Linked DNA regions of Oryzias latipes. The protein of the gene in region 2 interacts with the protein of the main gene of each other region in a pairwise test. Links are inferred from orthologs where the notes say so. Each region holds a gene or a part of one and is shown on either strand. Other genes may lie near its edges. The genes, in order: ap2s1 and aagab.

Evidence for each region.
Region 1: the proteins of aagab (region 2) and ap2s1 interact in binary tests that used the Homo sapiens proteins (3 or more experiments, as listed by UniProt). The link is inferred for Oryzias latipes from reciprocal best matches to the Homo sapiens genes AAGAB and AP2S1.

The regions. Positions count from the first base shown.
Region 1 is NC_019871.2:14,618,858-14,629,070, forward strand, and holds ap2s1 (AP-2 complex subunit sigma), read right to left. Parts: upstream 5,597-10,213; 5' UTR 5,445-5,596; coding exon 5,442-5,444; intron 4,999-5,441; coding exon 4,849-4,998; intron 4,182-4,848; coding exon 4,068-4,181; intron 3,200-4,067; coding exon 3,140-3,199; intron 2,588-3,139; coding exon 2,486-2,587; 3' UTR 1,429-2,485; downstream 1-1,428. UniProt on the Homo sapiens protein: Component of the adaptor protein complex 2 (AP-2). Adaptor protein complexes function in protein transport via transport vesicles in different membrane traffic pathways.
Region 2 is NC_019864.2:16,361,487-16,371,746, reverse strand, and holds aagab (alpha- and gamma-adaptin-binding protein p34), read right to left. Parts: upstream 6,001-10,260; 5' UTR 5,910-6,000; coding exon 5,816-5,909; intron 5,570-5,815; coding exon 5,379-5,569; intron 5,289-5,378; coding exon 5,192-5,288; intron 4,948-5,191; coding exon 4,858-4,947; intron 4,762-4,857; coding exon 4,678-4,761; intron 4,585-4,677; coding exon 4,505-4,584; intron 4,374-4,504; coding exon 4,277-4,373; intron 4,171-4,276; coding exon 4,066-4,170; intron 3,949-4,065; coding exon 3,899-3,948; intron 3,794-3,898; coding exon 3,716-3,793; 3' UTR 2,512-3,715; downstream 1-2,511. Other genes in the region: smad3 (mothers against decapentaplegic homolog 3), read left to right, coding at 1-94, 192-336, 1,204-1,327. UniProt on the Homo sapiens protein: May be involved in endocytic recycling of growth factor receptors such as EGFR.

The DNA.
Region 1 (10,213 bases), on a different chromosome or scaffold from region 2:
GGATGAAGCATCCCTTCAGTGTGAGCGTGATGGGGACATAAGGACGTGATGTCCTCATCAGTTGCTTACCAGACAAGGACGAGTCAACGGTGGTCCATATGGGCTGCTGTTGGTCAACCTTTTGATTTTTATTTCTTTTTTTATTCAGGTTTTAGAAACTTTGCTTTTTGCACTTGCACATTTCTGTCTGTAAATTCCTACTGTCACTGTTTGAAGCACTCTTATCTAGCGTCTCCTGACATGACTGATGATGAGCCCAAAATTAAATGTGATTGTGGAAACGTTTGTATTTCGAAACATGTATACTTAAAGAAATTGAAAATGATAGAATCTACCACATCCTTTATCCTTTTAAAGTTTTCTTGAACATTGAACCTGCTAACTATTGAATGTAAAGTGAGCCTCAGCTGGATGTTGTCTCTAAAGGCTGGAATCTGTATTTTTATTTGGTTTGCATTCAAAGTGTATATGTGAATATATAAAGAGTTTTACAAATTGTGAATTTATAGTTAGAATTCCTAATGATTCCACCTTTTCAACACATTTTGTTTACTCAGTTCACTGTGTAGCTTAAGAAGCACGAAAATAATATTTTTATTCCATTTAAAATCCCAAAGTCCCAAACGTACTTATTTATATATAAAATCTCTTTTTTTTTTTGGCCTGCCGCTGCTGGATTTTCTTTTTCCTCAACCTACTTTTGAATCACTTTCTACAAACACATGCAGCACAAGGGATGATCCTACAAACGACAGCAGGTTGTGCTTTGTTTTTGTAGATCCCCCTCTATTAAGGTTGGCTTTTCCCCAAACGTTGCCGATTGGAAGGGATGCACAGGAAGTGATGACTCTATCCTTGTAAGTCATCGTTGCCCTTCAGGTTTGTTTTCTAAACAGGCCTTTAGAGAAGGGGAGAAGAAAAAAGTGTGCGTGTGTGCACACTGAAGGGTAACTATAATATAGAACTGTCCAAAGTATGTAGAGTCCATTCGCAGGTATTTGGGGTTTTCCTCCTCTGAAAGTGCACTTTTATTTTCAAAATGTCATGTATGTTTTGTTTATATACTGTATCAAAAGAATTGTACATTTTATTTTAAAAGTCTAAGTAATAAAGATTTTGATTGTAGAGGGTTTCTCCTCCTTTGAGCCACTTGCCTCAAAAGGTTTCCAGCTTTGTTAGGATATCAGAAGGCTTATGTAATGAGTAAATAAATACAGGTCGTTTTTCTAATTAGTTTAATGCTCTTAAGTTGAAAGATTAAGTGGTTTAATGAAGCTGAAATAGATATATTGACTGGTTTATTGACCCGAGACTGGCTTGAGATGACATCACATTCATGTTACTGTTTGGCCACTAGATGGTGCTGCCAGAATTTAAATGTATTTTTTATAACACTGTACACATTTTCTTTGAAGAAATAACAGAAAAGCTGAACGATAAATCTGTTTATTTACACAAAATGGGACTGCTGATGTAGGCAGCTGAATTTAAGACAGTAACATCTTCCATTAGCACTCTATCAAATGCCAGGTGGGTACATAGTTCAATATTGTCTTCATGAAAAACCCAAAGTCTAACATGTGAAGCAACTAAAGGTAAAAATATGGGATTTCACCAGAAATGATAGTCCAAAGGGACAGTACTTTAAATGCACATATGACACTGTTGGAATGTATTAATCTCAAATGAGTTTATATTTTTGAAGATTAATCTTCGTGACCAATCATTTCACAATACTCACAGACAACACTGTTTACACAGATCACACAAAGCAAACCCAAAGTAGTGCTTCACATAAAACCCGCCTGTTTGTTCCGGATCGTTTTAAATGTTAACAGTGACCAAAGAGCACCGTTTTGATTGACAATCCTGCATTGTACCACCCTCTTACAAGCTCTGGCATCAGTCACACACATCTGCATATGTAAGCATTACACATGAACACAAGAGAACTATAAATGCCACCTAAAGACATTATTTTGGATAAACAGGCTACTTCAATCAGAGATAAGGTAAAGGGAAGGTGGGCCTGGCCTGAGTTTATGGGGCTTCTAAATTCTAGTGCCGCTAAAGAATTGCTTTGTTTAATGTGGGAATGAGAAGACTGCCGTCACAGTTGCTTCTGACAAATGCCATAAATGAAAAGATAACTGTGGAGAAGAACTCATTTCTGCAGCCTTTGGCTGTAGAAAAGCAAAAAAAAAACTCAAAGAAACTTGAAATGCTGACACGTTGAAATGTAGTGAAAGACGTCTTTTAAAACGATTCAGAAGGTTAGATAAAAAACTGCAGGGAAAAAAAAAAAAACGGCTGATTGGATATCTAAAAGTGGATGTTGTGTAGTCCTCGTCCACATGCCTGTTGTCACTTGGCATGTTGAAAAACTAGAGGATTTGTATATGAAGTGACATTACACATCAAAGTATTTGTATTTATATATATTTTTTGGATGTCCGGTGGGCAAGAAGGACAGAGGATTTTGTTTTTACTCAAGTGACTGAAGCATGAGAAGCTGCTTAAGGACCTTGGTCTGACTGGTCTCCCTGATCTCTCCTGCCAGGAACATCTCGTCCACTACTGTGTACACCTTGGAGGGGAAAAAACATAACAGACAAGGTCAGAAATGAGAAAGAAAAAAAAAAGGAAAAACCAAGAGTTCACGGGAAATTAGGTCACAAACTGAGCAAAATTGCTTCTCTTAAAAAATGCTTCCATTCCAAACTGAAAAACAATCTGTCAGCTTCTTAAAAACAACATTTTTGACATTCAAATGTTCAAAAAAATGTTCAACATAATTGATCCATTAAAGGAATACAGACCAGAATTCATGCTTTGAACATTTTAATGTTATAAATGTATCACTTCACAGCTTGTTAGTATCTTGGCAATAATTTGGAAGAACAAAACAGAAGAATAAGTGAATTAACTAACCATAGCAGAATGTTCTGAACAGGGGAACAAGGGAAGTTTGGAAATGTTCATTTAACTGAATTTTCAATCCAGGGGAGTTCATCCAAGTTTTAAACAGATAAAAAGGAAATTCTGTTGACTTGTCCTTCTGTTTATACTTTCTTGTACGAGGCATTTGTAAAATAAGTCAAAAGCAAATGGACAAATGATGATTTTCAAGTGCTCTTACCTTGTAGAAGTTGAAGACCAGGTCCAGCTCGCACACATTGTGGAAATACTCGTTCAGGACCTTTTAGAACACAAAGGAAACATCCTAAGCTTCATTCAGGAATCGGGAAAGACTCATGAGCAACATTTTGGGTCTCAGCTTGTTGAGAGGACAGCACACAGACTAATGAAGTGTCACTACAGACTGTTAAACTCATGGAAGTGACCGTTCTCCTTCTTCAAGCTTTCCAAAGCAACTGAATTAGCACAACACTGTTAATAACATAAATTACCATCAAATCATTGCCCATTAAATCTATTTGTTTGGAAGTTCACTTGAGGATAATTTATCCATTTGCTGATATTCACGTAATTCATTTTTTTTCTACATGTTGCTCACTTTTTGTTTTTAAAATTCAAAACAGATTACATTGTTGTCACAAGGAGATCCCAAACGATATCGTCTTATTAAATCTAAAATGATGTCTTTGGGTAAACTATAACTTTACCCCATGGAAATGGTATCTGTTAATGAATATTTTACAATTAATATAAATGATCTCAAGATAAATGTTGCATGATAAACTTTTAAGGGGTATGGTCGGGTTAAAACAAAACTTCATTTTTTCAATATATTGATTCATCAAATCTATAAACTGATTTTCTTTTGAAGCAACTTTTTTCAAGGGAAAACAAAACATTTTTTCAGCTATTTTTATTTGTAAAGTTTTAGAACAACCTATCCTTCTGAAAGTGTTAATCAAAATCTTACAAAATTGTTTTTAGGCAGAAATATAACATAAAACTGGTTGGAGGAATGATACATCATCAGTTTTTAGGCAAAACCCAGTCCTAGAAAATGATAAGTAAAAGGGAAAAAAAAAGGTCAGACACACGAAACACATTTGACCAGGATAACAAAATGATCAGAGCACATTATGTGTACTCACCTCCACAAAGTTGTGAATTCCCTCAAGGTATGCCAGGTTGTTATCAGTCACGTCCACACAAATGCAGAAGTAAAGCCCAGCATAACGCCGGTAAATGATCTTAAAGTTCCTGAACTGTGGGAACAAAGTGGAATCAGCCTGTTAATAATAGAGTTTCTCATATTATGACAACAGCAGATTTACTGGGGTATAGGCTCCCAGACTTTGAGGCAAAACACACCATGATAATTTTATGTTTATCATAAAAAAAATAAATGTGGTACAAACATATATATTCATCTTTATATCCATATTTAATAAAGAAATGGGAGGATTTGAAGCGGGATGTTTTTTTGCAGCAGCAGAAACAACTTTATTTGCTTATACAGAAACAGGGGAAAAAAATAAAAAATGAGTTAAAAAATCCCCCTGGGGTTTTTGAATAATTAGAGAAAATCTGTTAGCTGCTCCTCAAAACTACAATTATACAAACTCAAATAGAATTTGAGATGTATTTTCAATCACTTTTAGTTTCATATCAGGTAAAAACTTGCTGATTCAACAAAATGTATTTGCTGTGCGTTTGAATAATTTTGAGCTTGATGATGGAAGCATCTTGAGTCATAATTCTAAGTAATTTGCACGTGTTTGCACCAAATCTACTGAAGCATCGGTGAAGGCTGACAATTTAAGCTATATTTTCTTCTTTGAAAAACAGTCATCTACACTAGTTTTATCAAAGAAATCGAGCTAAACGAACACTGAACCACTGCCTGACAACATGAATAGTAAACTTCTTTACCTCCACGAAGTTGGTGTGTTTGGCATCTCTGACTGTAACCACAGCATGTACTTCCTCGATCAGCTTTTGCTTTTCATCATCATCAAACTGCATGTACCATTTGGCCAACCGGGTTTTTCCTGCCCGGTTCTGGATGAGAATGAACCGGATCTTTGGGATTAAAAAGAAAATAAGTAAGCAAGGCATAGCTATTTTTAAATCAAGAAATCAAGAGAAATGCGTAGCAGACGCCACAAATAAAGTGTAGCAGTTAATTCAATTCCAGAGATTAAAACATCCACAAATTTTCGAGGGCTCCCTCCCTGACTTAGTTAGTTAACGTTCTTGGCTAATCTGACAGCGGCGTTACATTAGCATTTGCCTCCCGACAGAAAACTGCGAACAATTTAATTGCTATAGAATTCATAAAATATGAATAATTTCTAAATAGGTTGTATTCCTTGTTTTGTTTTTTTGTTTTCTGAAGTCTAGCAAAGGCTGTCAAGTGACTCATTGAACGGCATATCGGTACGAATCCCACCAATGCTAGCAATTCAATGTTGAAAGACTATGGGTGGAAAAAACAAAACATGGAGGAAAAAAGGCGACGTTACCATATTCGTCTCCTTAGCAGAACCTTTGGTGACAACAATATCGAGTTCCTGAGTAACAATTTAGTGGTTTTACATTAAAAAGCAGTTATTCGGGCGAGAGCTCGTCGGTTATCTGCACTAGCTAACAGGAAAAAGGAAAGCTTCGTTGATTTGTGGTGCACCATGGGAAATGTGTTTTTAACGGTTGGATAAGAACTCCTGGAATGTACCAGGAAACTACAAACACCAGTGTTCATTTTTTAAGAACTTGTCCAGTTCTCAACAAGTCACATGATTTGCAATGGTTTTTTTATGTATCAGTTTTTCAGTTTTTTTTAACACCTTCTTTCTTTAGCAATGCACACTTTTTTGTGTTAAATATTTACACATTGGCGGGTTTTAGACATGGACATAGCGGTCAATCGACCAAGAGCTCTTGCTGCAAATAAATAAATAAAATAAAATAAAGAAACAAAAAACCAGGTTTTAAAACCGTGTATATTTATTAAAAGGGCAAAGCATTTTTTTTATACATGTCAATCTCTGTTATGGCCTTTTTAACAACCTGTCCAGGATGTACTTTGCCTTCACCCAACAGTAGCTGGGATAGGCTCCAGCAGCCCTGTGACCCTGAAAGCGATACAACTGGTGAAGAAGTAGGATAGAATGATACAATGTTAGGTGCAAATCATGGGGACTTCTAAAATATTTGGAGCTCTCTCCATACCTGTTAGTAGTCAAAAGGATGAGCCAGACAGTTCCTCTTTCATACAGCAGGTGTCTTCAAAATCCCAAATGCCAAAGGGTGTGAATCCAGACTCTTCCAATTTCACTTCCAATTTCATTTCTCCTGAACACAAGTGTGGTGAAAGGAAGGAAACATTTTCTTTTTCCTTTTTTTTGCGGAGGCAGAGGGGGGCGAAAGTCAAGGTAGAACTGCCACAGACACTACAGCAGCCATGGCTACAGACGAAAATAACAAAAGTCTAATTTGTATAGTATTCAATATTGTTTCATAACGAGTTAACTTTGGAATAAAACCCTGGTCTTTTTTATGTATTTGCAATTTAACATATTTTCCTCTTTTATAACTGCAAAGGAGAAATGTGGACTTCCTGATTTAATTTAAATGCTTGGGGAGACTGGGATTATCAGATATTGCACAACTGCAGCAGAAGGAATGTGTTTCCCCAAGGACCCAGCAAAAATTCAGCTGCAAATGTTGAAGAGGTTGAGGTCAGATAGGAAAAAAAACATGTTTATTATAAATAAACTACAATAAAGAGAAGAAAAAAGCCAAAAATCCTTTGTAAAAACTTTTTCTTCTAGTTATTTCTTTCAGCAATGTTTTGGTATATGTGTAAAAAAAACAGCGGAACTCTGTTAATGTTTTGTAAAAAATAAAATATCTTAAATAGCATTGTAATTTATTAGTTCAAGTAGATTGCTTATACTGTGCCTTGTCTGTGTTGAAATAACCGAAAATGGATTTGAAAACAGAAGCAGATCGTTCAACAGAAACTTTGACCCATGTTAATCTTTCTTTGCAGTGGGGTCATGCAAATATTGCTAAAAACATTAAGTGATACGATTGGACAGAAAACCAAATGTGAGCTTTTAACCCAGCTTGAACATGTATTTTTTTGGTGGCATAACTCTCTCAAAATATGTATAAACACTCACTTTATTACAAATTCCCATCCCATGAAAAAACAAGGCAACTCACCCCCTGATAACAGTCATTAAATTTTACATTTGTCTTGTTTTTTCCATTGCAGGGTGGTTAAAATTAAAATAAAGTTTAAGCTTTTACTGTTATTTAAAAAGCAAACTTCAGCTTTAATGTTCTTGTTGTCACAAGTTGAATAGTTTCTCTTCAAACTCAGTCATGTAAAGAATGGTGAGAGGTAAATTCACTGACCTTGTTTTTGCACAACATGACCAATTTGAAAAAGTAACCAAAATATTTTTAATTAATCCTTTTGGATTGAAAATTTTAGTTGGCTTTTAAAGTAGGCCCACTTCATTCCGCTTTCAAATAACAGCCTGCATTTTTGCATCAAATGAAACATTTGTGCTCATCGTACATGTTTAAGTCTGGATTGGGCTGTTGGAAGACGTTGAGGGAGGGGCAGAGTCACAGGGAATTCATTCCGAACAAGGTCCCGCTGCAAAACATTAAACATCTGTTTGAGCTCTTAGCTTGTTGTCTTTACAACAAATCAGACAATTCTTAGTTGTTATACTGTCCTCCTTAGAGACACAACTTAATTATCATTCAGTGGCTGAACTAATCACAATGCAAACATCATCAAATGATTCTCCTAATAGATGACTTTTCAAATCCAATTGAAATGATTCGATTTTACCTTTTTTTTTTTTTTTTTTTAACTTGTCCTGTCCAACAGCTAGGCAAACAGATGAGAGCTGAGGGCCTCTTGTGTTGGACATATTTTATTTTAACAAGAGGGGTTATTCATCTTCAGACAAACCAAAGGTATGTCTGAATAAACCCCTTTTGTAATTGAGGCCAAACTTTATTAATTTCAATCATGTTTGAAAATCTTTGGTGTTGGACCGGACGGAAAAGGAAAGAGGGGAAGAAGAGAGAGGGACGTTAGAGAGAGAGGGGGGTAGGAGGGTGATAATAGGAGGGGAAGGGGGGTAAGACCATGAAGCAGCATAGAGCAGACAGGTTTACTGGTTGTTTATCGTTACGGTACGGTTCAAATGTAGTACAAAAAGGGCGATTTTACCTTTGACGGGACTGTTTTTTTACTTCTTGATTAGACTGATTGGACAAATCAATGTCCAACGTGGTTGTGTTTATTTTTTAACATTTGTGGCCCTGTTTAGTACTCAGAGTTTTTGTTCCTGCTACAAACCCTGCTTGTGTTTCATTCTCTTGTGGCCGCGCTGTTTCCAATTGCTATCACTTTGCTTCTTGGTGTGGTCACTTTGTGTCTTGGAAGATAATTTACGTTTATTTATGACTGCTTTCGTTTTCCTCTCTGTTTCCTTACGATGAAACAAAGGACTTTTCAGACTTTTGTAGACCCAGAAGGTCATTTACACCTCCTCAGAGGTAGACACCAAACTTAAGTGAATAAAAGTTTTTTTTAACTCTCCCTCGACCCTCCAACAGCCTCAGAGTTCAGATGAGAGCCACGTGAGGAGTTCAAAGTTAAAACCTACTCTTTTAGAGGTTATTCCAGTTAAGCAGCATACTGTGACTTTATCTTTACTAGTATTTCATTTGACATTTTGCTTTAAAACTGTCTAGGTTGGCTCCTGAAATGTGCATTGTTTTTTTCCCTCCTGTCTAAACACAAGCAGGGAGCCTCTTGCATTGGACAGATACTATTGTTGAACATGGTGTATGAGTTGTTGAGCCTTTACTTTATATTTATGAGTTATTCAATAATAACTGTTTAATATTTTAAGTTAAATGTGTTACATTTGAATCTTATTTGTTTTTATGTTGATCTGATTTGAAAAGTATTCATTTGTGTCACTGTATTTTTTATATATTGTAAATTTTATGAAGTGCACAAGTTGTTTTTATTTTTTAAGGATAAAATGTACAATTTAAATATGAAAGGTGTGTACTGTACCTGGGTATCACATTTTGACACACTTATTTTGTGTTTCGAGAATAAAAACTGTCTTTTGCCATGTTAGTTTTGCACAGTAAAGTAGTGCAACTTAAATTCAGGTAAATGCTGACACATTTAGCTTGTTTTAGTTTCTGTCCTCTGTGGTAAATGTTGGTTGTTTCACCCCTGTTTGGGACTTGTATTATTATTTTTGGAAAAGTCTACATCTTTGGCTAAATGACACTGATGCCAACCAGGTTAGACTTGTTTCTTTTTTTTCAAAGCTACTATTTGCAACAGCTGTTTTGCTTTACCATTAAAAAAAACCTATGCATATTTCTAATTCAGACTTTTCAGATTTTTTTTAATTGCTTATAAGACAAATCATCTGGTGGGTTTATTTTTTTGTAGTAATGAGTCTTGGCAATACAGTTTTATTTCCTTTTTAAACAGACCCACCACTGCAAGTGTTGAGGCCCTTTTACCCAATTTTTCAGTCTAATAAACAAAACCACTTTCTAAAGTGCGAGGAAAGTTAGATACCAGACACAACATTTCATCACTTTTTGTGCCATGTTTTTATTGAAAAATCAATGTTGCTCCATGGTGTGTTGTTGTGTACTGTCAGGCATCGCCAGTACCAACAGCGTGCTTGTTGTAGTTGTGTCCACGAACCACTGGGCGAGAGTCTTTCTGTGAGCAGGAGTGGAGATGCTGGATTCACAAGGTCCGCCATTATTGGGAAGCCGGAAAAAAAAAAAGAAGCGAAGGGAGTGAGGGGCAGAGGGATAGACAGAGCGCGTCACACATTTTCTCCAGCGAACGGCTCTAGTACATCAGAAAGGAGATCTCGGGGCTTCCTCGCGCGCCTCCGCACGCGGAAAACACCGTCCCGCTGATTTACGGACGCTTTTGGGACCGCGTTTCCTGCCGACTCTTGTGTTTGGGACTCGACAGAGGCGAATGAGAATCGGTCAAAACAACGTGGTGGCGGAGCCAAGAAGGGAAAACACACCGAAACAGCGCTCTGCAACGCCTCCCATTTTTTTCCTCTTCGTAATACGTTTGCAGTCGCTGTGAAAGGACGCGAGTTTGAGGGACATTTTCCCCCCGCTGCTAATTTAATCAGTATGATGTATTAGTTTATTTCCGATTCAGAGACAGCAATCCTCCACTTCACTTGTCCAGAAACTTCAA
Region 2 (10,260 bases):
GAGTGTCTGAGTGACAGTGCCATCTTTGTTCAAAGTCCAAACTGCAACCAGCACTACAGTTGGCACCCTGCCACTGTGTGCAAAATCCCACCAGGTTAGTGCAAAATCCTCTTACATTAATCACAAATAGCAAAGCTGGATTCAGTATTTTTTTCTCTATCAAAAAGTCTAATTTGATTTTTTTTTTTTAGGTTGTAACCTTAAGATTTTCAACAACCAGGAGTTTGCTGCCCTCCTCGCCCAGTCGGTCAACCAGGGCTTTGAGGCAGTCTACCAGCTCACCAGGATGTGTACTATTCGAATGAGTTTTGTTAAAGGTTGGGGTGCCGAGTACAGGTAAATATTTTCAACTTGTTGCCATCGACCCGATGGAAAAGTACTGCGGAAAAAGCTGTTTAAAGTAACTTTTAAAAACACAAGAACTTATTAAGAACCCCAACAATACAATGTTCATTTGACTTTAAGATTAATCTGTAAACGTTGAATAGATAAAAGAATGAACCAACCAGAAAATCAAGCTTAAGTTCTTTGCTTTTAAAAAAAGAATCAAACCTGAATTTCTATTGTTGTGTATATCAGTGTAGGACAAATCCATATTCCCCCTCTACATTGGGTTGCAGACATCTGTGGTGTTAACTGTTAGTGACCTTCATTACATTCTCAAAAAGAAAATGTCCAAATAAAGACTAAAGTTTGTTTGCTCAAGGTACTCGTTTTAGCTGTTTACAATGATTGCATGCAAACATATTATAATTATTGTCCCACCAATTCCTGCATTCCTTGTGGTGATATATATATTACATTTTGCATCGTACAAAAATGGTTCTTCAGCTTGAGATGGTAACAGAGGAGAACGCAGGAGACATAAAGTGCTGTGAAGAGATTGACATCGGATGGTGAACATATCTGAGACTCTCTTTCCTAGAGGGGGTTCCCCGCTGAATGTCTCATCTAGTCATACGTGTTGTATTTCTGGCACCAAACACCTTAGAGAAAAAACATCTCTGGACTTAAATGACTTCAGAAATAGCTGGTTGAGTTTGTAGCATTGGTGAAGGTACTTATCTACCGTAATTAAAACGACTAGCCCTTGTTTTACTGTAGTTACCTCATCAAATTATCTTGTAGGGAATTTACATTTGCAATAATGTTGTTTAGCACAAAGGTCGTCACATTAATATGTTTTTTTTCTTTATCTTGTAGACGTCAAACAGTGACCAGCACCCCCTGCTGGATAGAGCTACATCTTAATGGTCCTTTGCAGTGGCTGGACAAGGTTCTCACACAGATGGGCTCTCCCAGCATCCACTGCTCCAGTGTGTCTTAGGAAGAGGTCTATTCCCATCCACAATGGAAAGGTTGCATAGATTTTAGATGAGGTAGGGTTAGAAACTCCATTCATCAAAGCCACGATCTCCCATCCTGTGCTGATAGCTTTATTCACTTACGAAACACTGTGACATGGAATTTTACGATTATGTTAGGCCTTATATATGCTTTTGTTGCCAAACATTTGTTCTGTTTTCCAGTTTTTGGATTAAATGGGTTTTTAATCATACATTCAGAGATTAGACATGCCTTAAACCCAGATATCTGTCTACCTCTGTAGATTACCTTGCTTTTTGCTAGTCATTTTTGAGTTTTACTCAATTTTTTATTCGTTTCTCATCTGTCAAACCATAAAATACAATTTCATAAAACATGTGATTTTGTCACCAATTAGAATTTACCCAATAGTCTAAGTACAAAGTACTTCCATGATGATTTACGTAATGAATCAACGCATCATAGATGCATTTGATTTTTTTTTAATTGGTATTTTATCAATGTCAATATTCTATGAAAGAGAAAGCCTCATTATTTCTGTGAAAGAATATTTGTATGAAAACTATTTTCCTTGGTGAAATGTTTTATAATTTATTTTTTGCAAATTCTGCAAAAAATCTGTTTTTATTGACGTTTTCAAAAAAATTAAATATACAATTATTTATAGTCGGTAATTTAACATTGATGAACAGCTTAAAACAAGGGTCCTGACTCTTAGGCCCCTCCTTAACTTGGCCTTCTTAGGTATGCATGTTTGAGCCAGTTCAGCTAGTTTCAGAGTGAACCTCAGGATTAATGAAGTTTAATTTGTATTTATTATCTACAGAGTGCTTTGAAAAGGAATAAAATAGACATAGGAAACCTTAAATCAGAAAAACACTGACAATAGCTGACGTCTTCATTTTCTTTCTTTGATTTTGATTTTAATAACACTGAAGCCAACATAATTTGCCTCATTTATTGGTTCTATAGAAACTGCAAGACTGTTCAGCTTTTACTTCTTTGTAATTTTCAACTTTTTTACATAATATTGTGGGGATAAAGGTATAAAATAATTTGATGTTTTACTCCTGTCCTTTACTTGTAATGTCTTATAAGACCAAAAAAAAGAAACTGGTGAAAATAAATATAAGTAACAATTATAAGTTACAATCTTTAGTCCATACTCTGTAATGAAAGTCAAAGTTTATGTAAAAAGTATTTATTTTTAATCGCAGCTTTCTGATTTGGGCCTCTTTAATGAACCAACACAGTGGATTGAATCTTGACATTTTGTTCTTATTAAGGAGGTATGCTATGACAGGTGAAAGTTTTTTTCATCAAGAACAAACTTTCCTTATTTATCCCGAACAGTAAATCCTGCTTGTGGGTAAATGATGCACTTCCACAGAAATGTGTAGAAAAGCTTTAACTGTTGCTCTGATCTGCTTGTGCAATAAACACTGTGTGCTACTTATGCATTATCATAACATAAGGCATTGCTCACTGTCCTTGCTCTGATGCAAACATGTTAATCTCGCACTTTCAGTACCGAGTCATGCAATCTCTAATTGTATGTATTGCAAATACTCAATGCATTTGGTAGTTAGTAGATCTGTTCCTGATTAATCACAATCGGTTTCTCAATTCCAAGTCTAGACACTTTTTTTGTGACCACTGTTACAAAGTGAAATTTTATTAAATAAAATGCATTGTTAAGATGTTTACCATCACTAAAACAATAGTAACTCTTTGTCATGTATGCAGACGACTTTGTGATATTCATTAAGAAAAAAATGCAGACAAATGCAAAGCTTTTAGGAATAAGTTTGATATTTTTTGAGATGACACATTTTCAGTGAAGTTAACAAATCACCTAAATGTAGCAGTATAGTTTTATAGATTCACTCTAACACAGCATATTGGTTTACCTTTTGATTAGTTACTTCTGCAGTAATAACTTATGTAGTGAGACACTGTTTACATTAGTTATGCTGCACCCATTACAAAGATTTACATGATTTTAAGAACTTTCAGGATTTCCCTTTTAGATTTAAACAATTCAAAAGGTAAGGCCAATATATATGAAAAATTTGTGTCTACTATATCCAGATTAATGCATGAAGCTCAAACATTTGTATGACTTGCATTACTGTCATGTATTGAGGTTCACACAGAGCTCAAGCATTTTGTGGGACATTGAGAAGACAAGTTTAGAATCCACCCACTAGGACATGTTACTTCTCAATTACTTTTGAAGAGTCAAATGCTTTTAAATGCTAATAAGCTTACAGGATCAACTATAAGCATCATCTTATACGTGGGAATAGGGAATCAATAGGAACAGAATCTTGTGAAAGCTACAGGTCAGCAAGAAAGATCAAGAGAGACTTTTTTTTCCTTTGTTTTCTTAGCTTTCCTCCCCAGATGATAGTCCACCTATTTCATCTTCATCACCACCAATGGCCATCCAAAAGGCTTTTGCCACCTGAAATTGAGAAAAGGATTGTAAAAAAAAAAAAAAAAAAAAAAAAAAACCTCCAGATAAATTCTCTGATCTGTTAGACGTTGTTAGAAATTGAAAGATGATGACCTTCTCTGCATGAACTTTTCTTTGTTCATGTGGTAATGAAGACGCTTTATCTGCACAACAAAAATATAAATCAGATTAACCAAGCTTGAAATCTTGAAATTAAGTTGGACATTCAAATCATTGATGGAAAAAAAGAGCCAAAGAAGTTTTTTTCATTTCCCAATCACCTTTCATTTCCTTTAGTTTAGTGAACAGGCGCTCAAAGTTGTCCACATCTGCATCTCCAGCTGTGAGATTGGCAAGCTCCTGAATATCTAAATCCGTCATTGCATCTGTAAGGATTGGCAAAATAGGAATTATAAGTGTAACTTGTTGTCCTGACTGGATGTATATAATGCTCTGGGAAATTAGTTTGAAAAAACAAACATGGTTATTTACCTACAACAGTGTCCTGCTGTCCATCTGTGTTTACTCGGCTGTCTGTCTGGTTAGTCTCCTCATTAGAAGGAGGACTCTCTTCTGGTAAACTGGGGGGCTACCCCAGAAATAACATTACAGGATTGCATTAATTCCCCAAATCTATGCATATAAGTAATTAAGGAGTGATACATGTGTACATAGTTTGAAACAGCTAGTATAAAAAAAAGAGAAAGAATTAACACTCACTGAAGGATCCTGGCGGCTAAGTGGGTCGTTGTGTCTGGATGCCACCAAACTGCTCATTAAATTAAAACCCTGATTGTGTCCTGGAATGAAAAAGTATGAACTGTCACATTCTCTCCATCCTACAGACAAAACCATAACGGCATCCAAAAATACATCATCCAAAAATATATTACCATCTTTCATCTCCACACTTGACCACACATTAGCATTCAGAGCCTGAACTATTCTTTTAACTCCCGTGGATTCTGGAAAGTCATCTGAAAAGAAAAGAAAAACAAAACAAGTGTGTCAATATAAAACAAACTCAAATGGAACTCATTAACAATTGTAATTCTGCTGTTTGTCAACGTTACCATCTTCATCTGGAAGCTCCTGAGGATTAAGCTCTACAAGTTCAAACGCGTGAGCCAAACACCACTGCTGTGCTTCATGCCTGGTGACACCTACAACACGTTTTGTCCGTGAGATGGGATATAGCATTTACTCGAAGGATTTTTTTGTGTACCATTGATTTGATTTATTGGTTTATTTTAAACATTAATTTTAGACGGTAAGACAACAAAAAAAGAAAAAAAATCACACATATATCAAACTCATTTGAGATGTAAAGAATTTAAAACAGAAAACAGTGCTTATTGATCATCCTCAGAAAATGTTAAATATTTTATTCAAACAGAATTGACTAACCATCTTCACTGACTCTGTCACACACTAGAATGAGGACTTCAGGAGCAAGATCTGCTACCACTGATATCCAGGGGTTGAGCTTTTCTAAGCCACCCTTCTGTAAATGACAAACACAAATGTCTTTAATTTCATGATGATGTGATGATTAGCACGTGCAACTTAAATGTTTAGATTTTGAGATACATACCGTTTTACTATCGAAGTAAGCAATAAAAGCCTGCATAGACTGGGCAATTTCTGAGGACATTTGAGTGATTCTTGGTACAGTACACAGTCTGACATCTGCCGTATAATATTTGTTGTTGATGATCCAAGGATACCAGGCGACTGCTTCCCTTCGCTTTGTCGGCTCAGGTAAAGTCCTCGAATTAAGGATTTCTAAAACAAAACGCAGAGTTAGCAACAAAGTAAATGATGACAGCTAGCTTCTTCAACATTTTTGCAATATTGGCTATGCCAACACAAACATGCAAAAGCGTTTGACTCGACTGCCTACTCTAAAAATAAACAATAGCTCTAAAAGCGTAATATTCAAGCGAAGGCATTTATATCTGTCATCTACTGTGCTAAGGTAAGCTAGCTTCCTTTAATTTTGGGCTTCCTTCCAATCCTAAGAGTACTCACGTTTTACCAGCTCTTCTTCCTTAAAGTCACTATCAGAGCTAGTGATTAGGACACACGGAAGAGTCACATCAGTATTGTCTTCTGCCGCTGACATTTTGCAAAAACAAATGTAAATAGAAAAAGCTCGTCTAGCTTCCTGCTAACGCTAACAAATTTTGATAACCTTTCAACTCTGATTGTCAAGCTGCGTCACTTCCGGAACAACGTCACGACAAACCTGTATTCTACAAATGTTCCATTAAAAAAAGTCATTAGTATTGCCAGTTTGTTTAAAAAATGTATATAAATGATATATTATATTATATTTTTTAAATGTATTCTGTAAAGGTTCGATAAAAAACAGGAAAAACGGAAAGGAGAAAGGGAAAAAATAATGTAAATAATAGTAATCCATCTTTTCTGGTATTGCCGTTTTATTCTGGAAAGATGTTTTGTTGGGTCTTATATCAAAGAATATAAAAAAAGACTGGTTTGCTTTTAAATCTCTTGCTCATTATGGTCAAATTTCATATCCACAAATATAAATTCTATGGTCGAAAACCTTGTTTCATTGAATTCTTTTCGGAGATCAATTTGTGTTGCACTTGCAGTACACATTTTATGTATGTTTTTTCAGGTACAAGAGGATTTGAAGCAATCCAGAACTCATCTAGAGAAAATTCCTGACTCAGAGAAAACCACAGGACTAGCCCCAGACATGGGGGTTCACCAAGGGACACTTCGGGGTGAAGCAGCTTAGAGTTACAAAAGCAATGACAAAATCTATGGTTCACAGATACAGTGGAGTTTCTTGCTGATAATACATATTTTCTTTATTTGACAACATAAACAAGCTAAGGTGTATTTGAAAACAGTAAAAAAAAACTAAAAGGCAGGTACTGGTACTTCCATTCACTAAAGATTTGCAAATACCATGGTAAGGTTTCTTGTGTATTATAAAGTTCTACTGAGGCATCATGGATGCTGAAAAATAAACTTCCACAGGAAGTCTCTTGTGAAGAGTTTTTCAGATGTGCAACAAAAGAAAGATGACTGTTGGGTTAAAACAACCTGCAACTTCAGAACAATTCAAAAAGGAAAGAAAGACAAACAGACCTTCCAGCAATCTCGCCTAAAGAAAAGGGACTTTTTTGATCTATTTTATATAAATGTAACTGAAAACTAAGAGATAATGCAAGAAAAGATAGATTAACAGTCTTTATTGATGGAAAAGTCATATTTTTACATTGATTCATACATTTTGCAGCTGTACAGTAGTGTACAGTAGAGAGTACAGTAGTTAACGGACACTGTTTTTTGGAAATGTTCCAGGGTTAATTCAGGGAACACTTTTTTGTTTTTTATAGTATATTGTATAAATATTCTTTAACCTTTCAAAACTTGAGTGATGGACATGTCATATAATGTCAGACACAAAATATTGATTACTCGGATGTTAGTTAAGTGAATAACTTTTGTTTCACAATGCAAGAATGTTTTGAAAGAAGCTTTATGGGGCATCTTTGTTGTGATCTGTGCATTGGGGAAAACAACCCCTCCACAAAAGGATGGCACACCACAGAGAAGCCCCAATATCAGGCCAGGACTCAGAACGTCACCTGCACCTTAAAGTCAGAATGGAAAATCAAGAGAAATGGGGTCTGATACATTAGCTGTCCCCCAAGAACTATACTGTTTTGACATCTTTTCCCAAAAGACCAGGGTCCCATTCCCACCTGCCGCACAAAAACAATAAACCACTGAGTGCCACCACCTCTGAGCCTCACCAAGAGCCCCAGCAAATATTAGGACATGACATCCATTTTGATGATCTCCGGAGCGTTCATATTTGCATCTACTTACGTGGCCTCTACTTATTTTAATAGAACTCTCAAGTAATCAGGACACAATTAATCTGAATTCCCCATCAGCAGTTACAGCTAAAGAAGCTGCGCAGATGAGCAGGGAAATGTTTTCCAGATCAACCTTTTGACATCCATTTGCTCCGAAGAACAGGGTTTGCTCATTTGATCAACTCTATTCATCTGCTTAAAAGTTTTTGCTGACCTTGACTGCAACTTTACTCCATAAAAAAAATCTAATGATGAGTTTTGGATGAGAAAATATTTTAGGGATGTTGTTGTTTTTTTATTTTTTTTTTAAATCTTACTGTGTTAATCAGAAAAAACTGATTATGACACAGTAAAGACTGATGGTACATGTCTACATTTATAGATACCTCCAGTCCCATGCACTAAAACGCAATGACTTCAAGGTCACTTGACTCATAGATGACATCCAGCACTTGTCACAGGAAGGAAATTAATCATCGCAAAGTTGACAATAGCTTTAGATTTATCTTTACACTCTTTTTTTTTCCCCCAATATGTTTTTTGTAATCTGTATCTGACTTGAGAAATGAGGGCCAAGACTGCCACTCTGCTACAGGAGAGATGGAAGTGCTGGCTGCAGAGAGCGGAGAGCAGCAGATTGTAGCACATCAGCATTCTTCTAAGGAAACAGGTGCCTGATTGCTGCGCTATGGGCGAGTGGTTTACAGCTGTCTCCAGACAGAATCGACTACCTGGTCTAGCATGCCAATAAGACAGCCGTAGCTTCCCCAACTGCTAACCACTGGCTCTCTGCCTGCTGCAGCCTTCTGCAACTCACTCCAGCTCTTTTCTGCTACCAGCTTTTGCCAAAAAATGAGCTTTTGCATTTTTGCAATTTTACAAAAGGTTGCCCTTTTCCCAGCACCATCTGAAACAGATGTGTGCCTTTAAGGGGAGAATCTAACAGCACCTGGCTACTACCTGCATTCTGTCAGAACGCTCAGTGGTCTGAGGAGAACAAAGGAGAGGACATAAGAGATGTCAGGAAAGTAGTCTGAAGGAGTTTTATGAGTAAATAAAAGGTAAAGAACTAGAGTTTATAGTCAGAAAAGTCAAAATGTTTTTTTTATCATGACATATCTAAAATATATTTTAGGTATTCTTTAAAACTAAAACACTTTTCAATGATAAAACCTGGTTTAAAAATATTTCTTATTAATATTTAGGCTTTGTGGTTGCTAAAAGGTTTTAACCATGTTACAAAGTGATATTTTGCAATATTATAAAAACATTTGAGTCCAAGATAAAAAGTGTTGAATTAAAAAAAAAAGGAAAAGGAAATGGACAAGGAAATGTCCTTGTCATCTGACATATAATGTTATTGTTCAGGACATGTGACACGTTTATTTATCATTTATCATATTTTTTTCTCTTTTGAACAAAAAAACTCTGTAATAAGATTTCAGGTTTTGTAACCAAGGGGAACATCACACCCCATCAACCCATCAAAACCAGGTTAACTGACAGCTCTCTACAACTTATGTCACTCTCAGGATAAAATACTACCAACAGGTTATACTTAGCAGCAATGCTTAGATGTTTTAATGAAATATATAACCTTTATTTTGAAGTAAAGTACAAAGTGTTGCCCTTTTTGTCATTTTAAGTGTTTTATGTGTTCACAGTTGTGAAACAAAGATGTCCTTGTTAGTCAGTCCAGCAAAAACCTACAGTTCTTGACACAAGAGAAAACATACACGTTCATAAAATTGGTTAGTTTTTACAATTAGTTTAGTTACAATGCTGCAAAAAATACACAATGAGTTGATGTCATTGATTTTATTAAATGCCTGATATACTGTAATCGGAGAAAAGAGGCACATGCAGCTAGACTTCACAGAGATAACCAAACAGCTTGAGCCAGTAATATAGTGGGAAAACTGTCTGTGATTTCCTTCCAAAAGTAAATATTTGGTGGGTTAGGCAGCCAAAATGGAAAAAGAAATGCTCACAACTTATTTTGTTCAGCAAGAATAATAACTGCACTCCTATCAATCAACACTTCTATCCCTAGTACTCTAGAAAATTGGACAAAAAGACAAAAAAAGGCATAAAATATTCATATTTGTCTGATTGCATATTTTTAATGCAATTTTTTTATGCATTTGGTTCTGTTTGCTCTGCAGATTAAACCAGTGGATCCTCCTGTAAACAAACACCTTTTTAAAATCCTCAAAGGCCGAGTCGACCCAAAGGCAGCAGATTTCCGTCACTTCAGGGAAAGCTTCAGGTTGTGCTGGGGCAGTGTGGTTAATGATTTAGAGGCCCTACTTCTCAGGGACTCTGCGGTACCTTCAGCCGAGGTGCACGGAGAACGGCCAGTAGAACTTTGCCACTGTTGGGTTAACAGCTGGACAAAGACCCCTTCAGCAAACACTCTCCTTTCTGCTCTTGACAAACAGAAGGAGGCATGAAATCTCACGTCATGCCCAGGTCAGCGCTACAGACGAGGGGGAGGCACAGAGGCAGCTGCTGTTCACATGCAGTCCTCCTGGAGGAGCTATTTAGCCAGGAGAGCTCACCTGTGCAACTGCAGGTGGCAAATGGGCAGCTGGGATTATTGCCATGTCATGG